Ovis aries: one gene and its partners. The protein of the gene in region 4 purifies or fractionates together with the protein of the main gene of each other region. This does not show direct contact. Links are inferred from orthologs where the notes say so. Each region holds a gene or a part of one and is shown on either strand. Other genes may lie near its edges. The genes, in order: PARP1, CDK7, ZUP1, RPA2, HLTF, ATRIP and PRPF19.

The links.
Region 1: the proteins of RPA2 (region 4) and PARP1 purify together in Homo sapiens (affinity purification with mass spectrometry; 3 studies listed by BioGRID and IntAct, counting the BioPlex papers as one, with this or other methods). This does not show direct contact. The link is inferred for Ovis aries from reciprocal best matches to the Homo sapiens genes RPA2 and PARP1.
Region 2: the proteins of RPA2 (region 4) and CDK7 purify together in Homo sapiens (affinity purification with mass spectrometry; 3 studies listed by BioGRID and IntAct, with this or other methods). This does not show direct contact. The link is inferred for Ovis aries from reciprocal best matches to the Homo sapiens genes RPA2 and CDK7.
Region 3: the proteins of RPA2 (region 4) and ZUP1 purify together in Homo sapiens (affinity purification with western blotting; 3 studies listed by BioGRID, with this or other methods). This does not show direct contact. The link is inferred for Ovis aries from reciprocal best matches to the Homo sapiens genes RPA2 and ZUP1.
Region 5: the proteins of RPA2 (region 4) and HLTF purify together in Homo sapiens (affinity purification with mass spectrometry, with the first as the bait; 3 studies listed by BioGRID). This does not show direct contact. The link is inferred for Ovis aries from reciprocal best matches to the Homo sapiens genes RPA2 and HLTF.
Region 6: the proteins of RPA2 (region 4) and ATRIP purify together in Homo sapiens (affinity purification with western blotting; 5 studies listed by BioGRID, with this or other methods). This does not show direct contact. The link is inferred for Ovis aries from reciprocal best matches to the Homo sapiens genes RPA2 and ATRIP.
Region 7: the proteins of RPA2 (region 4) and PRPF19 purify together in Homo sapiens (affinity purification with western blotting; 4 studies listed by BioGRID, with this or other methods). This does not show direct contact. The link is inferred for Ovis aries from reciprocal best matches to the Homo sapiens genes RPA2 and PRPF19.

The regions. Positions count from the first base shown.
Region 1 is NC_056065.1:28,669,106-28,672,605, forward strand, and holds part of PARP1 (poly [ADP-ribose] polymerase 1), read right to left. Parts: intron 916-3,500; coding exon 787-915; intron 1-786. UniProt on the Homo sapiens protein: Poly-ADP-ribosyltransferase that mediates poly-ADP-ribosylation of proteins and plays a key role in DNA repair.
Region 2 is NC_056069.1:10,557,760-10,561,259, forward strand, and holds part of CDK7 (cyclin-dependent kinase 7), read right to left. Parts: intron 1,715-3,500; coding exon 1,604-1,714; intron 412-1,603; coding exon 293-411; intron 1-292. UniProt on the Homo sapiens protein: Serine/threonine kinase involved in cell cycle control and in RNA polymerase II-mediated RNA transcription. Cyclin-dependent kinases (CDKs) are activated by the binding to a cyclin and mediate the progression through the cell cycle.
Region 3 is NC_056061.1:21,159,939-21,163,438, forward strand, and holds part of ZUP1 (zinc finger-containing ubiquitin peptidase 1), read left to right. Parts: intron 1-886; coding exon 887-1,008; intron 1,009-2,854; coding exon 2,855-3,023; intron 3,024-3,500. UniProt on the Homo sapiens protein: Deubiquitinase with endodeubiquitinase activity that specifically interacts with and cleaves 'Lys-63'-linked long polyubiquitin chains. Shows only weak activity against 'Lys-11' and 'Lys-48'-linked chains.
Region 4 is NC_056055.1:239,185,104-239,188,603, reverse strand, and holds part of RPA2 (replication protein A 32 kDa subunit), read right to left. Parts: intron 1,326-3,500; coding exon 1,224-1,325; intron 1,104-1,223; coding exon 990-1,103; intron 1-989. UniProt on the Homo sapiens protein: As part of the heterotrimeric replication protein A complex (RPA/RP-A), binds and stabilizes single-stranded DNA intermediates that form during DNA replication or upon DNA stress.
Region 5 is NC_056054.1:239,824,516-239,828,015, forward strand, and holds part of HLTF (helicase-like transcription factor), read left to right. Parts: intron 1-543; coding exon 544-710; intron 711-3,500. UniProt on the Homo sapiens protein: Has both helicase and E3 ubiquitin ligase activities. Possesses intrinsic ATP-dependent nucleosome-remodeling activity; This activity may be required for transcriptional activation or repression of specific target promoters.
Region 6 is NC_056072.1:51,443,797-51,447,986, forward strand, and holds the start of ATRIP (ATR-interacting protein), read right to left. Parts: upstream 2,801-4,190; 5' UTR 2,702-2,800; coding exon 2,461-2,701; intron 185-2,460; coding exon 54-184; intron 1-53. UniProt on the Homo sapiens protein: Required for checkpoint signaling after DNA damage. Required for ATR expression, possibly by stabilizing the protein.
Region 7 is NC_056074.1:34,605,910-34,610,003, reverse strand, and holds the start of PRPF19 (pre-mRNA-processing factor 19), read left to right. Parts: upstream 1-1,294; 5' UTR 1,295-1,514; coding exon 1,515-1,533; intron 1,534-3,193; coding exon 3,194-3,343; intron 3,344-3,539; coding exon 3,540-3,616; intron 3,617-4,094. UniProt on the Homo sapiens protein: Ubiquitin-protein ligase which is a core component of several complexes mainly involved pre-mRNA splicing and DNA repair. Required for pre-mRNA splicing as component of the spliceosome.

The DNA of each region.
Region 1 (3,500 bases), on a different chromosome or scaffold from region 4:
CCTAGCTATCTTCACACCTGTTAGGGGTTGTCTAAGACATGACCCAGCACTGTAACAACAGCAGAGCCCGAGCCGTCCTGCCAGGCTGGGCTTAAGACAGGGAGATGCAGGGCTGAGGAAGAGTAGCTGCTAGTGGTCTCTACAACCCAGATTTGTCTTGCCTTCTCTAAGGCTGGCTGGAAGAAGCAGAGAGGAAGCAAGCTGGTGAAGAGGAGGAATGGTCAAGGCTAATCTGCAACTCTTGCACTCTGCTGGTCCCTGCTTCTTTTTCAAAGCGGCTCCAAGCTTCAAGGCAGCAAGAACATGCATCTCCCAGGGGACACAGAGCACCTGACCCTGGCTGGTGGTCCCTGCCACTTTTTCTTGTATAGAAATATGACTGATTCACTCATCACTCCCCTCCCCCAGCCCACCCCTATGATTGGCTGGTATGCATTTTATGGGATGAAGCAAGTGTCAGCTCACTGCTGGTCCTAACAGTTCTTTCACTGTAAATGGGCTCCATCTTGGACTTCCATGACAACTCTGAGCGGCCTATTTGGTTGAGCCACAAAAGAACCACGCTCCACATGCCTTTATGGCAACTTCAAGGGAAAAAGTGCAATGGGGACAACATACCATCTATTTCACAACAGGCCAATGATTCTCTGTGAAAGTGTAGGTACCCCAGGCCTCAGCGCTCCTGTATGCCTCAGGCTGAAGACCAGCCACTGAACTCGTTGCCAACTCAGCACTCCAATCACCCACCCCAGCAAATGCTCACGAACGTAACAAAAGTGCAATAACCTCATACTCCACCATGGCTTTCTTCATACTTTCTACATCGAAGATCATCTTAATGAGGTTCTGCACTGGCTTGGGGAGCTTGGACTTGGTGCCAGGGTTTACTGTCAACTTCTTCACTGCCTCTTCATCCTGTAGGGAAAATCAGGAAGAGACTCAATTAAACAACCCAAGCAAAGTTGTGGTAGTGTCATCTGGCAGAGAAAGGATATAGGATGGCGTGCCAATGGCAAAAAAGGCTTAAAAAAAAAAAAAAAAGGCAGCATGTAAAAGGTTTGGCATTAGATGTCAGGAGAAACATGTTGAGTACGGACAGGATGAGACTGCCTGTGCACCCCAGATCCTCTTGGCTGCTCCCGATTCTTATTCCAGACACCGCCGAAGCATCAAGTTCTGCACAGGCAGACCTGCAGGCACCCACACTCCCTCCCATGCTGGGGTTGCTGGTGCCCAGTGCCCATTCATGCCCAACATGGAAGTGCTGGCACCTACAAGGGCAAACCTTGGACCCAAGGCACACTGGACTGATGGACAAATTCTGCCTCCTTTCTTCTCTTACACTGCCTCACCCAAGACTGAATTCACACAGCCTTCTCTATAGTGCCAAAGGATCAAGCAACCAGTCCCACTTCCTGCCAGGCAGCTTGACAGCGTTAAAGCACATATGAGCACCATCCCTACCCCTCACCCCTGCTCCCTGGGATTGCTCTTCCTAATATTCTAACAACACAGGACTTTAACTCCTGCCAGCTGGGGATCCCAGGCTGAGCGAAGACCCTGCCTGAATGAGGGGAACTGGTGCTGGGCTTTGCTCCTGGAATCTGCTTGGCTTAATGAAGCTGCAGAGAAGAACCCGTGTGCTAGTCTCAGGGCTACTGCTGTCAGTGGCACAGCAGATCTACTCTCAATGCTGAAACACACGTCTTTACACGCATTCTTATCTTCTAGTTTACTGGAAGGCAAACTACTACTACGTTAAAAAGCCTTATTTATATGCATATACTGTAACCAGGAACTCTAAGGATAGATAGTAAGCAAAAAGGCATATAGATATGTACATCAGCATCATTATAGCAAATACCTAGAAATAATCTAAATATCTAACTGGGGGATGGGAGAGTGTTGTTTGGTAAATTACAAACTACAGCCACCCAAAGACCTGGGTTTTGATCCTTGTGTCGGGAAGATCCCCTGGAGGAGGGCATGGCAACCCACTCCAGTATTCTTGCCCGGAGAATCCCACGGACAGAGGAGCCTGGTGGGGTCCATGGGGTCACAAAGTGTAGGACATGACTCAGCAACTAACACTATTACTACTACCAGAGGATGGAATTCTATACAGATTTAAGAAATGATGCTCTAGTTCAGTACCATTTAACAGAGTAGCCCCTGGTTCTGACATGTGGTCATTCTGAATTGAGATATGTTTTAAGAGGTAGAAAAACATCAGCTATCAAAGACTGAGTTAAAAAAAAAAAGGAAAGATATTTTGATATCAACATATCAAAATGATAATATTTTGGACATACTGGGTTAAATAGTATTAATTTCACTGTTCTTACTTCATAAAATGTAGCCACTAGAATATTTAAAATTGCATAAGTGGCTGCATCTCTCTGTTGGACAGCACCGCTCTAGAGGACACGGGGAAATACTCCTAGAACATTAAGGCAAAACGTGGGTGGTTGGTGACACAGTGGGTAAGGAAAGACTCCAGGGCTGTGATGGCAAAAAGCACCTGTCAACTGAAAAGAAGAATATACAGACGTATATCTTAAGCTTAACTTTTTTGTACCTTTGTACAACTCAGGTGCTAGCTACCCTTCCTTGCAGTTGAAAATGTGCATACAATTTACATGGTTTCTCTCTATCCTCAGCACATCCATGGATTTAACCAACCACGGATCGTATGGAACTGCAGGATTTACAATGAAAAAATTCCACATGTAAGGGGACCCATGTAATTCAAACTTGTGTTGTTCAACTGTACATCTTTTTGAAATGCAAAAAATAAACTCAGTAGGGAGCACTGCTGAGTTAGACCAAGCATGTCTAACACTCAAGTCCAAGTTCTCTACCCCAACATTACACAAGAGTTAATTTCTGTTTTTAATGGTAAAGTTCATGACACTCTATAAACTAGAGAACTTACAGTTTATAAATTCTTCAAATCCCCCTTTGAGACATGTTAGACCTCAAAGATTTGAGTTAAAACCTGTACCACTGTAATAAATCTCTTTCCCTCTGCATAATAAATGTGTATCACCCCTCATTATAAAAGCAACAGGTTTTCATATAGAAACAACGTAAGAATTTTGTCAAAACAAATGGCCTCAACAGGATCAGTGAAGAGACACTGGAAGGTTGCCTGGTAATATAAAGGGAGACGATTAAGCTACAAATAAAAATAATGGGAAATTATCAGGAAATAATTTAGGACTAAAAACTATGACCCAGTGTAGTCACTATAATTCTATCTTGATGATAAAGCGAGTCACGTGACCTTCAGATAAGCAACCTCTATGAACTCCTCCTCCCTGAGTTTAGGGAGCAACTTCAAAGACTGCTCCTTTGTGACAGTCTTTGAAAATGCTCACACTGTTCTTACAAGCTTCACCTCACACTTCATGGAATAGATTTATTCATGAAAGGGCATGGATTTTATTTAATGCTTTTTCTGTGTTCCTTAGGATAACTGTGTGGCTTCTATCCTTTAT
Region 2 (3,500 bases), on a different chromosome or scaffold from region 4:
ACACAGGCTCCACAAATCAGGTGGTTACGGAAAAGAACAGCCACTATAGTTCCAACCTACCTAACTAAACTGTGTAAGAAGTATAAATTAGTCCCCCCAAATTACTAGATAAATCTCTGCGGACTGATTTAATTCAACTCCATATAAAAGAAGGGCTGTATAGTTTTTCACTGTTTAATAAGATACCAACAATAACTCCTGAACTCAGCCAAAATTCAAAGAAGCCACATGAGGCTCATTTGTGATTAATATCCTACACAATACAAGCTTTAGTTAGTTAAGGAATCCTTACCTGGTTACAACCTGATGTGTATAAGCTCTACTGGGGCTCCCAAATGATTTGGCCAGACCAAAATCAGCCAGTTTTAGAACTCCATTTTCATCTAGCAACAAGTTGTTTGGTTTTAGGTCCTATACAATGGAGATTTTAAACCAACAAATAAGCGGGGTGAAGGAGAGCATCATAGTAATACATTTAGTTAAATTTAAACTTAGCAGAAACAGGGTAAGACTCCAAATTTAACCACCACCAAAATTTTTTTCATTGATGTAAAATCCTAAAAATCAAAATAAGATTAGCCATATTTCTTAGTGAGGCCTTGGGTTAAGGTACTTCCTTTCAATGAATTTCAATTTACATACTTCACAGGTTCGCTGTGAGGATTAAATTTAATATTTCCTGTGAAAAGCCTAGAGTAATGACTGGTTCCTAGTAAGCATTAAAAAAAACAGCTGCTGCTATTAATTCAATAACAATATATACAGGGAACTCCCTGGTGGTTCAGTGGTCAGGACCCTGTCACTGTTGAGGGCCCCAGTTCAATCCCTGGTTGGGGAACTAAGATCCCACAAGCCGTGAGGCCCAAAACAATAAACACCACAATATATGAACTTTAGTAAGTAAAAAACATTATGTGTTTATAAAGGATGAAGAATATAGTCTTCACAATCAATGCTAAAAAGATATTAGCCATAACCTAAAAGGAATTCCAAGCTTAAGTATGAGGATTACTATTACATATTTTTAGCTACTTTACTAATAAATAGGATACCTAGGAACATCCACCTACCTAAATCATCAGCCTTGTTCTAGTAGCTGAATGTTCCTAACAATGACTCAGCCATTTCAGAAATTTTACTTGATTACTTCCCAGAGTTTCAGAGCTACCCGAAGTATTTTTCCAGAAGTATTTTTGCATTGCATAATTTAATCCAGACTCCTTGTTGTTTTTTATTATAACAGTATAGCACAAAGAACACGTAACTTCAAGCCAAAATATCTAGGTTCTAATACTCTTTGTCAGTCACTATAGCTACTGACCTCAAAAAAAATATGTAACTTTTAGGTCAGCAACTTAACTCTTCTAAGTATGAAAAAAATGAAGGAATAGGCCTGTTGCATTTCTAAATTCCACCTAGTAACACAGAGTTCTCACAGTGCCACCTGGTTTAACTGAAGGGAGCGCAGAGAGGAAGAAGGGTGGATAAAACAGTCCAGTTCTACTTTAATAATTTACATACTCAGGCCTTTTGTGTAATAAGCTGGCTACAGAAAGTCTGACTACAACATAAAGACGCAATCATACTTGGTTAAAAACCTTACCCTATGCAGAATCCAATGTTGATGTAAATATTCTAATCCTTGAAGAGTCATCAACATATAGGCTTTGATGTGTGAAGGTGTCAGCACAAGACTGTTATCCTTTATTATAACCTGTAAGGTAGGCAGACAGGATACAGGTACGCTTTTATCATTCCACATAAACTCTATCATATCATTTATAGACACAAGCTGGGTTTATTCGTAACGGAGGTTCTCAAGAGAGGTTGCCTAGCTCTCCTCAGGAGGCTCTGTCAGAACCCCCAGTTACATGGTCAGGCAAAGTCTCTCGAGTTTAAGAGGAAAGCAGTACTCTGTCCCCTACCGCTATGTTTTTAGGCATCCATGTAGCAAACATCTGCCGTTTCCACTTGCCTCAGGATATACAGCCCCTCCTGATAACAGCATTCAACATTCCTTTCGGAAACCACGTGTTCCCAGCTTAGTCCACGTGGTTATACGTTGTGCACAACCTGTGGCCTCCAAAGGTAGCAGACATGTGATCCAGGCATGCTCCGTCACCACACTACAGCCTGCCTTCAAGACTAGCTCAGGGATGGAAATGTGAGCCAAGCCAAGCCAAATACTTGAGCTAGAATCAAAGGCAACAGAATACTTTCTCTCCTCAGGCATTATTAAACTAAGGATAGAAGCCTACAAGCACCTGAGCCACTATATTGAGAAATTTTACCCATGAACGAGGCAACAGAGAACAAGTGAAAAATTGTGTTCTGCTAGCATTATTTGTGAACTATGATTCAAGTCAGTTTATTCCCAGACTTTTAGTTATATGAGCTAAAAATGCAACTTTCTTTTTTTCAAATAGGTGAAAGACACTTTTAATCTCAGTTTTTAACACATCAGTTGTGTTACCACAACCAAAAATAGTTTAACAGTTCCCCCTAAATTCCCCAATGCCTCTCTCTACTCAATCTTCCCTTCAATTCCTAACCCCAGCAACCAAAGATCTGATTTCTGTTCCTTTAGTTTTTCCTTTTCCAAAAAAAACCATACATAGAATCATACAGCATCAGTAGCTTTTGAGCCTGGCTTCTTTCCTTTAGTACAACGTATTTAAGAGTCACCTATACTACTGTATATATTAATAGTTTGTTTCTTCTTATTCTCAAATAGTATTCCACTTTATAAAAAATGTACCAGTTTATACATTCACTTGATGAAAGACATTTGGGTTGTTTTCAGTTTGGATAATTACGAAGAAAGCTAAACATCTGTGTGGACATGTTTTTGTTTCTCTTGGATAAATAAATACACCGACGGATTTCTAGATCATACCCTAAGGGTATATTTAACTGTGTGAGAAACTGCCAAACTGTTTTTTCTAAAGTGGCTGTATCTTTGCATTCTCATCAGCAGTGTATAAGAATTCCACTTGTTCCACATCTCCAGACTGTCCATTATTGAGATTCAATTAGTATTAATGAAAAGCCTAAAATCTTATTCTTTTTTTTTAAAGATTTTTTTGATGTGCATCATTTGTAAAGGCTTCATTGAATATGTTACAATACTGTTTCTGTTTTATGTTTTGGTTTTTTGGTTGCAAGGCATGTGGGATCTTAGCTCCCTGGCCAGGGATCGAACATACACCCCTTGCATTAGAAGGTGAAGTTTTAACCACTGGACTGCCAGGGAAGTCCCTAAAATCTTATTCTTCTCAAAAAGAAAGCTGGTTTTCAAAAGGACAGTCTGTGATAATATCACAAGGGAAGTTCCAAACCCTCCAAAGCCAAACACTTATTTTTCTAAAAAGTAATGTTAATAAGGTATCGGGAACTTGGCAGACACAAATGCTATCTAAATCCAAATCTTGTATGTAACACTGGGAATATGGCTAAATGATTCAGAAGATCTTTAACATCACATCTAGATTTCAACAAAA
Region 3 (3,500 bases), on a different chromosome or scaffold from region 4:
CTAAACCGGGTCTCAGGCAGATTCTTTACCACTGAGCCACCAGGGAGACCCAAGCTTTGTATGGGTACATGAGTTATTTTCTGTAACCTCCATAGGCTTACACATAGGCTATGTGTACTCCATAGGCTGGAGTCTGAGGTGAATCTGAGTGAATCACTGTAGATAGCCTCATAAGTATGCTAAAAATCAGTTTTGGATTGTGTATTTCCGCCAGTAAAAGTGGGGACCAATTAGGAAGAGGTATCAGAGGCTGAGCGATTTGAAGGGAAAGAAAGAATATTCAGATACATAATTAAACCATCAAATTGAGAGGTCTAGGAGATGCTAGCCAGAGGGCACTGAATAATAGATGTGTAGGACACTGGATAGAGAGCAAAATGGGCAAGTTATACTATTTGCTTGAGGTCAGACATTAGGTTATGATCTAATATCTGTACTTTGCTCACTTGTTTTTTTATTCTCTTAATTATTTCCATCCTCCCCTCCTCCCCACCAAGTATTTCTCTTAAAAACTAATCTGCCTTATATGTATTAATGAGGGGCACCACTTCAGGGTGCTACTTAATTTCTCTCAAGTTCCGGTTTCTTCAACAGGTAATAATATTTCCTAACTGTTATGAAGATACAAATGAGATATTTAATGAGAATTAATGAGACGTGTTTGTCACAGCCTAAACACTCAGTGAATATTAGTGATTTAAGTGAAGGTTGTACCCTTACAGAGGCAGTTCAAGTTCTGCTGGATTTATACTCAGTATTTCTGTGACATCATAGTCATGAATAAACGGCAAAATAATAGCCTTTACTCCATTTAAAAAATATGTACTAACATATAATTGAGCCTTGATTTCAATCTTTTATTCTAAATATTAAAAATATATGATAGGTGTGAATAGAGTCCAGTGTTCTAGAGATCTAGAGTTGGCTCAACAGCTTCAACAAGAAGAAGACAGAAAGAGGAGATCTCAAGAATCAAGACAAGAAATGGAAGAATTTCAGAAGCTGCAGGTACAACGATTAATAATAATTATATTATTTTGGTTCAGTTAGAGTTCTTATTTTTCAAACATGCTGTTAAAACTTTAGTTTATTATTTTTGTCTTTATTATAATACAAAATATTTTTTACGTGTATTTTTTATAGTTCATAACAACCACCATTCATTTACATACTGGAGCAAACACTTCTTATAAAGTGGCAGTCCCCAACATTTTTGGCACCAGGGACCAAGACAGTTTTTTCATGGACCTGGAGTGGCAGGGAGAATGGTTTCAGGTTGATTCAAGTGCATTATGTTTATTATGCTGCTGCTGGTCTGACAAAAGTTTCAGACAGTAATGCAAGTGATGGGGAGCGGCTGTAAAAACAGATGAAACTTTGCTCACTCACCTACTGTTTATCTCCGGCTGTGCGGCCTGGTTCCTAACAGGTCATGAACTGGTACCCGTCTGTGGCCCTGGAGTTGGGGACCCTGATGTAAAGTATCTTACAGTCTTCCATACTCCATGAAGTTATTTTAGATGTTTTTTTTTTTTGAACAGCAGAGGAAGAAATGGAAACAAAGAGTGCTTTATGTAGCTTAACTTGTTCAGGATTGGGCAGTATGAAATGGTGAAGCCTACTTTTAAACCTATGTTACTGGAGAAAACTAAGAAATTGAGACTCAGAATTTTAAATGTTTGCAAAAATACTTAAAATAGAAACTTAGAATTAATGTCTTCTGAGTCTTAAATTCTTTTAGTGACTGAAGTTCAAGAATTTAGAAAGAACCACTTTTAATGGCAAATGCTTTTTTATGAAGTTTGAGCCTATCTTAGGTGAATGGTAGTATCTACTGAACTAAACTGGTAGCTTTTATATTTTAACAGCTTTTACGACTCTTTTCAGTCCTAACTTGCTGTGGACTACGTAGTCATTTGCTAATAATGCTCATAGATTTTAAATGTTCTTTTTCTATGTGCTTATAGGATAATGTCTGAATAAAAAGGGTTTATGAATGGTTTGAAAATGTTCAATTAAACAGGTTTGTGTACCTGATGTCTTCTTAAAGCCTTTAATATACTAATATGCATTGTACATATCATAATCTTCCTGAACTTGTTTGACCTCTAACTTTTTTCCCTCTGATTTCTTGCACATGGCTATTCTTTCTTTAGAATATCTAATTTAGGCTATTTTTCTCATCCATGGTTCATCTATTTGCATAATTATTTTCCCACCAAGATTCAGAGGAGAAAAAAGTTGACTTTTCCTATATCTTCTCTACCTTATATTATCAATACAACAGTTTTCAATGTTTAGGAGAGTATAAGTTGATTATGTAACTTTGCAGGTTAGTTGTTTAGATCTCAGAAATATTTTTGTAGGGGCTGTTTTAACATATTATTTTAGGTTTTCTGTCAGTGTGCAAAAACATAGTTCATTTACTGCATAGAATAAATACCTGAGTGAATTGTTGATTAAATAGGCCTTTCTAGGCTAGCCTAGGAACCAGGTAACAAGTACAGGTTCCTTGACAGGTTGTCTTGAAAAAAATCAGCAATATGGTCAGAACTCATCTGCTTTTCACATTACTATTAACAGGAAGATTGGATTCTCTACTTTCCCTACTTCAAGGAAAACAAGTCTCTTGCCATGATGGTTGTTTATAGAGAAAGGCTGTTATTAATTAACTCAAGGATTTTTTTGTGTGCGTGATTATTTTTCATAAAAATCTGTAAGTTGACTCATATAGAAGTCTATAAACCAGAATGTTTCAAAATATATTTCCAGATGTATAAAATAGTGGTAAATTTTTCACCTCATTGATATAAAGGGACATAAAAATTAAGTCATTTGTTTTTATGTTCAATAGAGACAATATGGTTTAGATAATTCTGGAGGGTACAAACAACAGCAGCTACGAAATATGGAGATAGAAGTAAATAGGGGAAGAATGCATCCATCTGAATTTCATAGAAGAAAAGCTGATATGATGGAATCACTAGCTATTGGTGTTGATGATGGAAAAACAAAAACATCTGGTGAGTATTTAAACATCCAAATCATGGTTTTAATATTGCATACATCACTGAAGTAATAGGATTATTTGAATTGTGCTTGATTTTCACAACCCACAGTTTATATAGTTTTAGGTGAGACCAGGTGTTCAAATAATTTTTTTGTGTGTTGTTTTAAAACTCCTGACCTTTTATTTTTATAGTAAATGATTCACTTTTATCTTGTATCAATTTACTTGACATTTGAAAACAGACCTTTGAGAATAGTTTTTATTGAAAGCTTACTATTTTCCAGACAATTGCTGTCTAGTAGAATGTAAGTGAGCCACATAAATAATTTTAAATTTCCAATAGTCACATTAGAAAAATAAAGACTAGGTAAAATTAATTTTAATATTTTTCCAGTATATCCAAAATATATTTCAGTGTGTAATCAGTATTAAAAATTATCAGTGCAGTATTTTGCAATCTTTGTACAGTCTTTAAAATGCAGTGTGTATT
Region 4 (3,500 bases):
GCTTTGCAAAAATGGGGCCACATCACGCATACTATCTTTAATAACCTCTTTTCTCTCAACATTTATGGTAAACACTTCTTTGTGACAATACATGTATTTCTACATCATTTGCAGTATTTTAAAAATATACCATGGTTTAATGAATAATATCCTATTGCTAACATGGGGATTCCTTTTAGTTTTCCATTATGATAAATAATGTGATGATCGACAATTTTACAACTGAATCTTTGCACACATCTTGATCTCCTTAATGTAAATTTCCAGCAGTGGACTGCTAGATCAACATTTCTGTGATGGGATCTTGATTATCGGCTGATTTTTGAGAAAGATTATACTCATAACATCAAGGTAGGATGGTATCCGCTTTCCCAGACAAACACTGACAAACCATTCCCCAAATTAAGTGCCTCCTGCTCTCAATAGAAGTAGACGTTGCCATTCTTTTTTGTTGTTGTTGATTTAGTAAGTTAAAAATGGTATTTAGTAAACCTGCTTTTCTTATTGTTGTTGCAATTTGTATTTCACCTATTATGAATTACTTGTGCATTTCTTGTTTTCCTAAGGTGCAGTTGTTTTTTCCTTTGTAAGAACTTTCATTAATTAAAAATTCAAAATGTTTGTAATATGTTACAAAAAATTTCCCCACTCATTTGAATAATATTTACTCAGGGCCCACTATGTAACTGGCATTATTCTAGGTGCTGGGGATACAATGCCAACATAAAAAATCTTTGTACTCACAAAGTACATTCTAGTGTGTCCTGTTACTTGCCCTTTAACTTTGTTTATAGTATTTGGGGAAGTTTCAAAGATTTTAAATTTTTATGAAAATAAATGTACTGGCCTTTCATGTTAGAGTTTCTGTGTTTGACGTCTTGCTTATGTTTTATTTTTATAAGACCCACCTTTAAAAAGTAAAACTAAACAAGTTCGACATCTCCAAAGTCCCCAAGTAACCCCACCCTGATTCCAAAACAACTACTTACATCTGTGTCAACCCACTGGCGAACATCCATGGGTGCAGCTGTCATGTCATCTATCTTGTAAACAATGTTGGTTGCAGCCTTCTCTGCATTTCTGATAATCCCCACAATAGTGACCTAGACCAGAAGGGAAAAAAGTTTAGTTTTCTTGAAAACCAAAGTAACATTTATATATTTTTAAATGATGTTAGTTTTATTTCATTCTTCATGTTAAGTGACTCTTGCACTCTTCCATACCTGTGAAATCTCAACGTTTCCAATTCTGAATACTTCATCAACCAGAGTAGCAGAAAGCAGCTGTGATATGGTACAGGGTACAATGTGCTGAGCTCGAGCTCTCTGAAAAAAGTATTCATAAATTCAATCAAGAAAATAATTAACCACTGTTCATTTAGCACCTGCTATGTGCCAAGCACTATACATGTAACACTGAATCTTCAATATGATCCTATCTCTACTTCATACAGGTGAAAACCAAGATTATATAGTTAACAAATGCCATACTTTAGATTTCAAACCCAGGTTTGTCTGACTCCAAAGTTCCTGAAGAATGGATAAGTCTGTGCTGCACTAGAGATCACCAAAATGAGTAGGCCAGATTGTGGACAGCATAAGGACCTGCTTCTGGAACAGACTTTTAAGAAGAAACTCCACCTTTAGGATGAAGGCAAGATGGAGCTGGATTTTCATCACTGATGAGATGGGTATTGGAAGGGGTCTGAGAAATGGTCAGCAGAGAGAGAACTCTGGAGTTGTTCTAAGTCTCATGATAAATGACAACAGAAATTTAGACATATAGCTTTAGGATAGATGTTCTGACAATCAAACACGAGTATGGGGGAAATGGGATAAAGGCTTGGTCACACTGGACATCCTAAAGGAAAGGGACAAGAGGCAATGGGCAGAAGAGGACAGACACCCAACTCACATCCAAAAGCAACCTAACAACAGTGTAAATTCTTATTTTGCCTACCTCTGGTCAGAGGACAAAGATGAGTACAATGGAATAGGATTTGCCCTCAACATACTCCTAACTTAGGGGAGGTACAAATGTAAGCAACAATCTTGATTTTTGTACACTACAGAATGAGAAACTCTATGTGGAATCTCAGAAAAATTTACTGGAAATTTCAACAAGAGGGAGCATTTAGGGTGGACCTTGAAGCACAAAAATTTTGATGGTGAAAAAACAGTGGGTAAGGAACATGCATTATAGACTGAGAGCAAATATGCACTTTCATAGACTCTTAGGAAGGACTATGTACAAGACAGAAAAAGCATGGTGCATTAAAGATGAGGGTTCTTCCTGTTGGAAATCAATAAGATGTAAACCCAGTAACTGTTCTATATGTAAAACTGATTTAAAAGTCAAAGCTTATCTCTGAAGGTCCATGATACTAGCAATATTTCACTTTACTGAAGCATAATTTTGAATGGTGAATACTGCCAGGATAGTAGAAAGTAAGCCCAGCCAACTACCAGCACATATGTCACACAGGTGGCAGCCAAGCTTGAGGGTAAAGATTATAGCTCCACCACTCAGGAGTAGCGTGCCCTTGATCACATTTCTCTACTCATCTGTTTACCTCTGTTTCCTCATCTACAAAACAAGGAATGATAAAATCACTAAAAATCAAATGGGAAGTAAATATATGGTGAAGTACCTAGACTATCTGGCACACTATAAACACTCAAGAAATATCAGCAATTATTAGGCCAGTTATTATTGTTCCTCACTCTTTCTATCTACAGTAGCTTTTAATAAGGATGTAAAGGAACCAACTATGTTTTCCAATTTTATGGTATTGGTAAACGAACTTATATGCTATATTAATATTTATACATTTAAAATCTGTTGAGGTTCTATTTTCACCTATCACACTTGAGATTTTCACCGTATCTTCAGCAGAAGAAAACTAAGAGCCACTATGGTAAGAGCAGCAAGAACATGGCTTTGGAGCCAGACAGTCCTATAAACCTGTGTTCAAACCCCCACTCCACAGCCCTGGACACACTGCCACCCATTCTGTAAAATGAGGATATCAACCTGTGGAGCTGTAAACAAAACGTATACTCTATATAAAACTGCTAATATCAATCTCTATATATCGTCCTATGTATTCAATAAAAATTATTATTCCTCAGGTAAAAACATTATATATGTGTAATTACTGAGGTGTTAGTAATACCTTCCGGAGAAGGCAATGGCACCCCACTCCAGTACTCTTGCCTGGAAAATCCCATGGACGGAGGAGCCTGGAAGGCTGCAGTCCCTGGGGTCGCTGAGGGTCAGACACAACCGAGCAACTGCACTTTCACTTTTTACTTTCATGCACTGGAGAAGGAAATGGCAACCCACTCGTGTTCTTGCCTGGAGAATCCCAAGGACGGGGGAGCCTGGTGGGCTGCCGTCTATGGGGTCGCACTGAGTCAGACACGACTGAAGAGATTTAGCAGCAGCAGCAGCAACATTCTCTAAGTGGGCAGCAGTAATACCTTCAAATTCACCTCAAA
Region 5 (3,500 bases), on a different chromosome or scaffold from region 4:
TCAGATTCTGGAGAACTTAGGCTTAGGAACCAGCCTGCCTGGATTCAAATTCTAAGCTCTGCTACTTATTAACTTTATGACCTTGGACAAGTTACTTAACTTTCCTGTGCTTTAGTGTCTTCATCTGCAAAATGGAGATAATGATAAGACCTACCAGTAGGGTTGTGACAGTTTTGAAAGTCAGTCTGTATAAGGTACTTAGAACAATGTTTGGTATGTAATAAGCATTCAGGAGATTATCTGTTTTTGAAGTTATGTTGGGAATTTTATATAATGTGTATCTGTTAGTTTTGATTATACCTTTTATATATCAAGGATTTTTTTAACTTTCCAATTAATGTAAATTAGGAAAATACTGCAAAAGAATTATTTTAAAATATATTCTGTAATATTTCTGTAGAAATATGAGTCTAAGAAAATGTACATTTCTTATGTGTGGTGTTATTCAGCAAGCATTAAAAAAATGAATGGAAATCCCAGATAAAGTACAGTGAAATCTATCATATATTTATTATTTATAACATATCTGTTTATTTTTATTAGGTTAATAATAATGAAATGGTTGCATTACAACGAGAGCCGAATAACCCCTATGATAAGAATGCAATTAAAGTAAACAATGTGAATGGAAATCAGGTTGGTCATATAAAGAAAGATCTTGCAGCTGCCTTGGCCTATATCATGGACAACAAATTGGCACAAATTGAAGGGTAATGCACTTCTGGAGTTTAGTTTCAATAATTGTGAATTGTGGTGATCTTGAATTTAAGGATATGTATAGTTGCTCTGACAACTTCTGTGACTATACCTTTAGTATATGTTCAGTAAATGTTTTAATTTTATCATCTGCCTGCACTACCCTAACCATCAGATAGCTATTCCCTCACTTTCCTGGTAAATTATTACCATGGAGAAAAAGAGACTTTGGTTCAAATATTAAAAAGTCCATACAATCTTTTAGGAAAAAAAGCCTTTTTGTTGTTGTTCAGTCACTCAGTCATGTCTGACTCTTTGCGACCCCATGGACTGCAGCACGCCAGCCTTCCCTGTCCTTTACCACCTCCCAGTGCTTGCTCAAACTCATGTCCATTGAGTCGGTGATGCCATCCAACCATCTCATCCTCTGTTGTTCCCTTTTCCTCCTGGCTTCTATCTTTCCCAGCATCGGGATCTTTTCCAATGAGTGGGCTCTTCGCATCAGTTGGCCAAAGTATTGGAGCTTCAGCTTTGGCATGAGTTCATCCAGTGTGAATATTCAGGGTTGATTTTCTTTACGATTGACTGGTTTGATCTTCTTGCTCTCCAAGGGACTCTATAGTATCTTCTCCAACACCACAGTGCAAAAGCATCAGTTCTTCAGCACTCAGCCTTCTTTTTGGTCCAACTTTCACATCTATATGTGACTATTGGAAAAACCCATAGCTTTAACTAGATGGACCTTTGTCCACCATGATTTTAGTTTTTTGAATGTTGAGTTTTAAGCTAGCTTTTTCACTCTCTTTCACTTTCATCAAGAGGCTCTTTTGTTTCTCTTTGCTTTCTGCCATAAGGATGGTATCATCTGCATGTGTAAGGTTATTCATAGTTCTCCTAGCAGTCTTGATTCCAGCTTGTGCTTCATCCAGCCTGGCATTTTGCATGATGTACTCTGCATATAAGTTAAATAAGCAGGGTGACAATATACAGCCTTGACGTACTCCTTTCCCAGTTTGGAACCAGTCGGTGGTTTCATGTCCGATTCTGAGTGTTGGTTCTTGACCTTGTGTACATATTTCTTAGGAGGCAGGTAAGGTGGTCTGGTATTCCCATCTCTTAAAGAATTTTCCAGTTTGTTGTGATCCACACAGGCTTTAGCATAGTCAATGAAGCAAATGTTTTTCTAGAATTCTCTTGCTTTTTCTATGATCCAGTGGATGTTGGCAATTTGATCTCTGGTTCCTCTGCCTTTTCTAAATCGAGCTTGTACATCCAGAAGTTTTCGGTTCACGTACTATTGAAGCTTAGCTTGGAGCATTTTGAGCATGACCTTGCTAGTGTGTGAAATGAGTTTAATTGTGCAGTAGTTTGAACATTATTTGGCATTGCCTATTTTTGGGATTGGAATGAAAACTGACCTTTTCCAGTCCTGTGGCCACTGCTGAGTTTTCCAAATTTGCTGGCATATTGAGTGCAGCACTTTCACAGCATCATCTTTTAGTCTTTGAAATAGCTCAGCTGGAATTCTATCATTTCTACTGGCTTGGTTCGTAGTGATGCTTCCTAAGGCCCACCTGACTGGCCACAATGTCTTGCTCTAGGTGAGTGATCGCACCATCGTGGTTGTCTGGGTTTATCTTCTTTGTTATCTTTGGTGGTTATCTTCTTTGTATAGTTCTTTTGTGTATTCTTGCCACCTCTTCTTAATATCTTCTGCTTCTGTTAGGTCCATACCAATTCTGTTCTTTATTGTGCCCATCTTTGCATGAAATGTTCCCTTGGTATCTCTAATTTTTTTGAGGAGAAAAAAAGGCCTTTTAGTGTATTGATTTTAGAAGTTTGGGAATGTTTGTTTAAATCTGGTTGTAAGCTGATAGTCTGTGATCAGTTCCAGATGAGTTTGATTTTGCCTGCAGTGTTTAAATTTTTTCGGTTATTTCCAGTATTAAAATATGTGGATGTTCTGCATTTTATGCATATTATTTTTTCCCTAATTATAAAACATTATTTACAAAGTTTTCTCTTGATAAATGGAAGATCTGGTAATACAGGATACTGATTTCCACTTGACATCATTTGACTGGAGCTAGGTAGCAGCTGTTGCATTAATTAGGCATATCCCTTCTTAGTTTTACCACCTGTTCCTTTTTTAAAACTCAGTCTCCTTGGTTGTGTTTTGTATGCGTTTATGTTTGTGATCTAAATTTTAGTGTAGATTGTTTAGAATATTTAAAGGTGAGTTTGGAAGATAAATACTTAGCAGTGTCTTCTCACTTATTTACTTGTTTTCTCCTTTTTCAGTTCATTTCCTTTCTCAGGCTTTTCAGATGTTGAGAGTAAACTTTCAATAAATCCTGAATCAGAAATAATTCTTTGAAATCATTCCCCATTTTCTCAGATTGGGTTGCTACACTCAGTGGTTCTGTTAGTGAAAGCTCTACCTTCTCAAGTAAACTTACTATTTTACTTATCTTACAACCTTGGTAATAGGTTATCTTATGTATTTAAACACTTCTATCTCAGTTTCTTCTGGCATTCTGATCCTAAAAACTGCCCTTACCTTCTCATTATTGGTCCTCCTCCATGTTCTTTTTCTTGCTAGTCTGCCCAGTTAGATACTTTTTGTTGTTGTTCAGTTGCTCATTCATGTCCGACTCTTTGCAACCCCATGGACTGTAGTACTCTAGGCTTCTCGGTCCTCCACAATCTCTTTCTGTTTTACTTCCAAGTAAAATTTGCACGTGACAGATATTTAACATGATTCTTAATGGGACTTAAAATTAAATGTAAAAAATAACTCTATT
Region 6 (4,190 bases), on a different chromosome or scaffold from region 4:
CACATGCATAAGTGAATGCATTAACTACAAAAATGACAAGTTAAATCCCTTACCTTTTCTTTAAGTTCTTTGTATTGTGCCTGAAGTACCTCTAATTCAAAATTATCTTTAACTGGAACACTTTCTCTGTTTTTTCCTGCAGGATATTTTGACATCCCATCTAATCTGGTGAACTTATGAACATCTGTAAAAAACAACAATCAAGAAAAATCAGTTCCCATATACTTGTTAAGGCTCAGTATTTTCCCACTTTTAACAGCCAGTGCTGAAAACAATCACTTTTGAAAGCAAATGAGAGAAAGATCTAGTAAGGAGAATAGGTATTTTCCAACATAAGAACATGATTCAATCCTTATGAAATAACAAATTCTGCCACCCTCTCCCCATTCCACACTCAGTTTCTTGTTTTTTTCCCTGCATCCAGTTTTAAGGGTCTCAGCTAAGGGCTGAAAGGTGCTGTGGGAACCTCACTGTTCGAAGCTCAGTGATCCATTATTCAACAGTATTTACTTAGCATCTACAATATGTCAGGCACAATTTAGCCTCTAAAGAAAGCTACAGTGATGAGAGAAATGGATACAGTCCTTACACTCATGGAGCTTACATGGCAATCAAAAATATAAGAATAAACGTAAAATTACGACTGTTATAATAGCTGCAGAGAAGAACAAACAGAGCAATGCCTGTAACAGGGGATTTCATCCACAAGGACGACTGGAAGCCTTCCCGGCTGCTAAGTCGCTTCAGTCATGTTCGACTCTGTGCGACCCCATAGATGGTAGCCCACCAGGCTCCCCTGTCCCTGGAATTCTCCAGGCAAGAACACTGGAGTGGGTTGCCATTTCCTTCTCCAATGCATGAAAGTGAAAAGTGAAAGTGAAGTCGCTCAGTCGTGTCCGACTCTTAGCAAGCCCATGGACTGCAGCCCACCAGGCTCCTCTGTCCATGGGGTTTTCCAAGCAAAAGAATACTGGAGTGGGGTGCCACTGCCTTCTCCAGAAGCCTTCCCTAGATAAGTGATAACTGAATGGAGAGCTGAAGAACAAGCAGGAATTAACCAGAGCAGTGGCGATGGGGAATGGATGGAAAGAACACTCAACGTGTAAGAAACAGCAATAGGGACTTCCCTGGTGGTCCAGTGGTTAAAACTTCACACTTGCACTGCAGGGAGGGTGGGTTTGATCCTTGGGAACTAAATCCCACATGCAGTGCAGCAAAAAAAAAAAAAAAAAGACACAGCGTGTGCAGTTTCTGTATTGTAGGGAAGCAGGGAGAATTCAAGGAATGAAGGAAGGTCAGTGTGGCTAGAAACCCAAGAGGGAAAGGGTCAGGCCACGCTGGGTCTTCCGGGCCATGTTAATGATTTTAATCTTTATACCGGAAGTGTGAAGTCATTCAAGGCTTTCAGTAGGGATGTTCACTGTGCATCTCTGTGTCACAGAGATTTTAGTTTTAAAATGATCACTCTGGCTGTGGTGTGAAGTCTGACTTGTAGGAGTCATAACCTGAAATATGTACACAATTTAGTGGACTTTTGTCCAGGGGAGGGGTGATGGTAACACAGATCAGGGAGATGGCAGAGATGATGCAGAGGATGGATTCTTGGGATGGAAGAAAAAGGTAAAGGTACAGGATTTGGAAAGGGGCAATGGGGATGTTGGCTTGTGGTATGGGATGGAAACTGGTGCCAGTCTTCACCATGCAGAACATGTGTTCATCAACATGTCTTTTCTGAATGTCTGCTTTGCCAGGCATCATGCTGGAGATGCTGGCAGATGACTGGATTTCCAGGAAATGACTGTGTGGAATTTAACTTGCCTACAAGACATCCAAGTAGAGATTCAAGGTACCCTCAAAACCTTTCTCTTCCAGGGAACCCCATAAGACGTCACTAGAATGAGTGTAAGCTCCAAGAAGGTGGGGGCTTTTGTTTGTTGCTAAGTGTCTGTAGCTTCTAAGGTTTGGGGACGTAGTACAATTAATTGGTTGTATAAAAAGAATAAGTCTATCCTATCTCTTGCCTCTGCCAGATCCCTCTTGTGCTCAGGCGGTCCAAAGGAAAAGGTGGTCTTCATTCGATCCAAAGCCTCCCAAATATGTCATAACCATGGGTCCCCATGTGTAGGTAAAGATGCTTCTTATGGCTGTGATAGATGTGTTGCAAAGATCTCTGCTGAGAACTAAGAACCCAGTGGTCCAAAGTATAGAAACCCAAGTAAAATGTTAACCTAGCTTCCTACATTCCAAATCGGCTGTTTGACATTCCTGATACATTTCTCCCCTCAAATCAAAAGACCTCTTGGGACACACAGCTGCTTAAATCAAACTGTTCCTAGGAAGGGGCAGTGTGGGTGCAAGACACCGGAACGGTCACTGCGGGGTTGCGAAGGCACAGCCATCTGGGGGGGGGGGGGGGCTAGGGAAGTCTGCACCACTCTCAAGGGGAAAAGGCGAACTCACTGGACACGTCCCGAGCCGTGGTCGGGCACTGGCTCAGGGCCTGGGACGCAAGCGTGTCGAGTTCCTCCAGGTCGTCGGCGGTGAAATCCCCATGCAGGCCGAATGGGTCTTCGGGGTCCGGGGCGGCGGGGATGCCTCGGGCCCGCTTGCTCGGAGGGTGCCCGGTGCTGGGCGGAGGGCCAGGACTAGGTGCCGGGGGCCCACTTCGCCTCCTGCTGCCTGAAGCGGAGATTCCAGCCATGCCTGCCTCCGGCTGATCTCTAAAGACACTGAGCCCGGCCTATACCCGCGTGGAAGGAGGGATGGACCAACCGCCCGCGCGCCGTGGCTCGCCTCAGCCGCCGGGACACGCCCCCGAACCAACGAGCCAATCACCTGCCAGTTGGCGGGCGCGGAGGAATGACATCATCAGAGCGCGCCGCGATGCTCCATTGAGTGCCCGCTGAACCCTGTTGCTTCCCGCCCTTGTTGGGCCCAACCTCGCCTGGCGCTCTGGTACCGATTGTTAGGATTCGGTAGGCCACTGCGGTGGTGTAAGCGCAGCGAACTGAGTTACCTAGGCAAATTCACCAGCTCCACCACGCAAGTAGCTGTGTCTCCGCTCCCTGACATGCCCTGGGGTACAGAGCAGCGCTTGCTGGAGGTCGCCCAGATAGATATTCAGCCGTGCAATGTGAATCTATGGCATTCAGACTTTTGGTTTTTGTGACCTCGCTGTCCAGCCAGACCCACTTCTCAAATACCCCAGGCTCTTTTGAGGAGGAGTGTGGAAGAATGGGGTTGGGCTAGGAGTTAGGAATAGAGCTGTTATGAGCACTCATCTTCGAGTACAGTAAATGTTTTGAATGTGTACATTTGGTGAAAGTCTGAGAAGGGTGTGTTTGTGTTGAAGGGTGTAGGAAGTCCTTAGGCTGTTAATATTTATTCATTTCTCTGGGAGCTCTTAAGTGTCTTTGTTCCAAGTGCTGGTAATATGGAAATGAATGAGACTCAAGAAGTCAAGGAAGGTCCTATGGAAGTAGCAACTGTGCTGTCCTACAGGTTAAGTGGAGTTATCAAGAGGTATTAAAGAGGATGGCATCAAGATTACTCAGACAAGAATACAACACTGAAATGGAGGCCACACAAGTGCCAGGTAGGCGTTATCAATGGCAAATTAGGAAGGTAAGGTTTTAGAGAGGAGCAGGGATTCAAGCTGGGCTTGAGTAGCTGACAGGCTGCAGTCCATGGGTTACAAAATGCCAGACACAACTGGGTGACTAAGCACGGCACGGTGGTGTGCAGGACATTTAGCAGGAACAAGGTGTTGGAAAGTAATGGGCAAGACTTTTCATTCATGTGTCGCTCAATTGTGTCTCTTTGCAGTCCCATGGACTGTAGCTCATTAGGCTCTTCTGCCCGTGGAATTCTAACTTAGCCTATGAGTATCCTATGAATATTTGGGAGGGCAGTGAATGAAAGGGAGATAGTTGTTAGGCCCTAGAGGGTCTTCAGTACCTGGCTTTAATTTTTTGAGGTAACTGGTAGGTTCCCTCAGATAGTCACACAAATATTGGATGCTTATCTTAATTGCTCCAAGTTTCTGGTCTCGTAAAAACACAAGATTATACTTCGTAAGTGCAGACTGGGTTCCATCAAATAAAACAGCAGTAGCTTCATCTCAGGGGCAGTATGCTAGCTCTGGCTCTCTGAAGGGTTATTCTCAGCAGCACAGGGAAGGGTGCCAGCTG
Region 7 (4,094 bases), on a different chromosome or scaffold from region 4:
CTGCCAAGGGGCAACTAAGTCTGCGCTCTGCAACTAGGGAAGCCACTGTAATGAGAGTCCACACACCATAACAAAGAGTAACCCCTGCTTACTGCAACTAGAGAAAGCCCTCTCACATCAGTGAAGACCCAGCGCAACCAAAAATAAATAATAAGTTCTTCGAAATAAATTATTATAGCTATCCCAGAGGGACTCAGAGGAAAATTACAGGGTGCTGTGGGGACTAAAATTCAGTCAGGGGTCAAGAAAAGAGACTCCAGAGGAAGTGCTATTTAGGGTGAGATTGGATTTACTTTGGAAAGGATGGGAGGGGTGGGGAGAAGGGCAGGGATTGAGGAAAGTGTTCCAGGTGAAGGATCTGGAACCAGAGTGGATAAGTTTGAGGGCTTGAAAGGCCAGTGTGTCCAAGAAGCAGATGACTTGCCCAAAATCACAGAGCAAATTGGTAGTAGGGGCAAGACCAGAAGAGTTTCTTAGCCAGTGTTAGCTTCTCTACCCATGTGTATCTTCGTCTTCACTGGGTCTTCCAAAGCTAATCCTCTGAGAAACACTTGCCAGAGAAACACATGGGGCACGAACTGAAAATGCAGACTCTCTAAATGAGACCCCAGAAAAATGCATTTTTAAAAGTTCCTTAAGAAATTCTTACAGAAACTAACATAACATTGTAAAACAATTATCCTCCAATTAAAAATAAATTAAAAATTTGAAAATAGAATAAAAAATTATGGAGTACTCAAAAATAGACATAAAATATGCAAAACCACTATGGACAATAATATAAAACTATACTGAAAAAATATTACAGAAGACCGCTTCCCTGGTGGCTCAGACGGTAAAGTGTCTGCCTGCAGACAGGGAGCCCCGGGTTCGATCCCTCGGTTGGGAAGATACCCTGGAGAAGGAAATGGCAACCCACTCCAGTACTCTTGCATGGAAAATTGGGTGGACTGAGGAGCCTGATAGACTACAGTCCATGGGGTTGCAAAGAGTCGGACACGACTGAGCGACTTCACTTCACTTCAAGTAAATCAAAGTATACCATGCTCACGAAATAAAAGACTAATAGCATTAAAAATAAAAAAAAATTCTCATATACTCCAATATTTGCAAGACAGTCGTTCCACCGCCCCTGGCTCAAGAGTGCAGCTAAATTGATTGGCTTTAAGGTCCCAGTGCATTAAGGGAAATGTAGTTTCGAATCTCCTCTCCCAGCCATTGGAGCTTTACGAAACTAGCCGAGAGGGCCCGGAAATAGCCGAGTATTTCCTGGCGCGCCCTTTCCTGCCTGATTGCATTATGGGAAAGGACAGTTTCCGTTAAATTCTGGAGGCTGAGGCGCGCGACTGGCCACAGTCCCACGTGAAGCCATTCGCAAGCATCGCTCCGCGGGGCAGCTCCCCGCTCGCAGCGGAGCGTCTGGAAGCAGCGAGGGAACTGGAAGTGTCCCGCGGGGGCCCAGTAGCTGATCCCGGAGTCCAGTGTGAGGAGCCTCGGAGTGCAGCGAGGGCGCCATGTCTCTGATCTGCTCTAGTGAGTATCGGCTGCGGCCGCTCGCGGGGCGCTGGAGGCCGGAGAGCTGAGCGTGAGGATCTGCGCGCCTCTGCGGCGCCGGGGTCGGGGCTGGACCTGAAAAACGGGGCTCCGGGGAGGCAGGGCGGCGGCCTGTCAGCCCGGGGGGGTCTTCCTCCTCCAGCGTGAGGTCAGTTTGCGCAGCGCTTCATAGTTTACATAACGTCTCCGGTGCATTCTCGCAGGCTGCACAGAGGCAGCCCATCTCGTTTGCGCAGTGGATATGAGGCTTGGATAGCGGGGAGCTGGTGGTGCAGGGGAAAGAGCTCTCTGTAGGAAGCAGGAAGCCAGAGGGCTTGTGCAGGATCCGCCTCCAGCTGGCTTTGTGATCTGGCTCCGGGATGCGGTCCTCAGTTTCCCCAACTGCAAAAATAATGGCCTTGGCACTGGATGTGTTGTCTGAGGCCCCGCTTGGGTAGGCAGCGCTTCTGCAGTTTGCGAAGATCGCACAGTGAGTTGGAGGCGGTGACAGGCCTGGGAGCCAGACCAGCCTCACCCTGTAGGGCTGATGAAAACAGCTGCACATTTGGAAAAGCCTCTGTTGGTTTACAGCGTGCTTGCAAAACTGCAGAGTCGTTCTGTCCCCACAGCAATTCTCCAAAGCAGAAATAAAGATCCGGTTTTACAGATAAGGATGTAAGGTTCAAGGAGAAATGTGGCTTTTGTAAAACAGTACAGCTAGTTAGTGGCAGAGCTGTGTGACGAAGCCAGTTTCTCTGATCCTGAATCCATGCTTTTTTCAAATGCTTTGTCCTGTCTTTTGGATATGTTATTGAGGAGAGTGGTTGTTCATCAGGTTATTAGTTTCTCATTCTTTTCTCTCTCGGCTTCCTAACTCTCGAGCTCTTGACTCTTCTCAGAACCTCCCCATAAATCCAAAATAAAGGAGAGAAAGAGTGAAGGGAAATGTGACTAGAAAAAGAGTCCTTAAGCGTTAAAGAAATGACAGTGTGCAGAGTATTTTCACATTCATTGTTTCAGTCCTGAGGAAGGTCTTTTCAGTATCCATCAGCTGGTCTGTTAGATGTTTCCTGAGCATTTGCCAAGCACCTGCATTGTACTGGAAGTCAGAGAGCAGCTACAGTCCCAATCCTCAGGGATGTAAATGGATACTTCTGTTGGGGAGTGGTGAGGATGATTTCATCAATGGAAAGTGTTTACAGTGGAGCTTGGCGCCTAGTAAACACCATGTAAATACTTTGTTATCATAGCACTTGTCACATCGGTTTGTAATGTGTCCGAGAATCCATCTAGGTCCTAGTCTGAGACTTGAATGGCTTTGTGTGTATCTTCTTGTCCTGCTATATAATGGGTGCCTAAGCGTTTTTGTTCAGAAATGAGATGGGCAGGAATTATTGACTGCTCCCTAGGTGCCTAGCATTTAGTAGTTGTGCAGCAATTATTTGTTGACTACCTAACTGTCAGAGACTGATGGAGAAGCTAGTTAAGTGGCTGGAAAGCATTGTGGGTACAGTCCAAAACTGGCTTGGTGTCATGTCTTGATTCCTGTTAGCTGAGTGTAGGGAGCAAGGTCTTGTGGAGGCCAGCCGAAGGTGAAGCGTCCCCTTGGCCCAGGGTCCCTGTCACCACCCCAGGCTCACCACCTGCCTTTTCTCCGCAGTCTCCAATGAAGTGCCAGAACACCCCTGTGTGTCCCCCGTCTCTAATCATGTGTATGAGCGGCGGCTCATTGAGAAGTATATTGCAGAGAATGGCACAGATCCCATCAACAACCAGCCTCTGTCCGAGGAGCAGCTCATTGATATCAAAGGTGCCTGCTGGCCAGCCCCAGTCCAGGCTGTCCTAGCCTAAAGCCTGGGAAGGTGGGAAGGGTGGCGGGTGCATAGCATGTGGGAGCCAGGGGAGGAAACGGTGGTCTGTTAGTGCTGAAGGGGAAAGAAAGAATGTGGGAGGGCCAGCATGCCCTAGGTCATGGGTTTTCACACCCACTTTGTCTCTCTTGGCAGTTGCTCACCCAATCCGGCCCAAGCCTCCCTCAGCCACCAGCATCCCAGCCATTCTGAAAGCCTTGCAGGATGAGTGGGTGAGTCCCCGAAGAGAATTTATATTTTCGCGACTTGAAAAGAAGGGATCACTGGACTAGGACATGGGTGGGGATGGGAGGGATGGAGCCTTATTTTCTGTTTTGAGGGGAGGGTGAGAGCAGAGAAGCCTGGTTCTTAATGTCACACAGATCTGGGCTCCACCCTTTGCTCCGTTGCCCACTTGCCACGTCCCTTGGCAAGTATCCAAGTGCTACTTTTCCTGACCATATTGCATGGATTAGTACCTGTCTCAGGGTTTACAGAGACTCAGAGTAAAATTAGAGTATGAGCTTCATGGTGTCAGGGACTTGTTTTACTCATTAGAGCCCCAGCAGTGAGAACCAGGTTCACAGCAGGTGCTCTAAATATGAATGAGTCAAAGACTGCATCTTGAGGACTGCCTGGCTCAGTGCCTGACGCAATGAGAGCAGTCAATAAACAGCAGCTGTAGTGTTTTTATTCCTTTCTGGTGAGGTG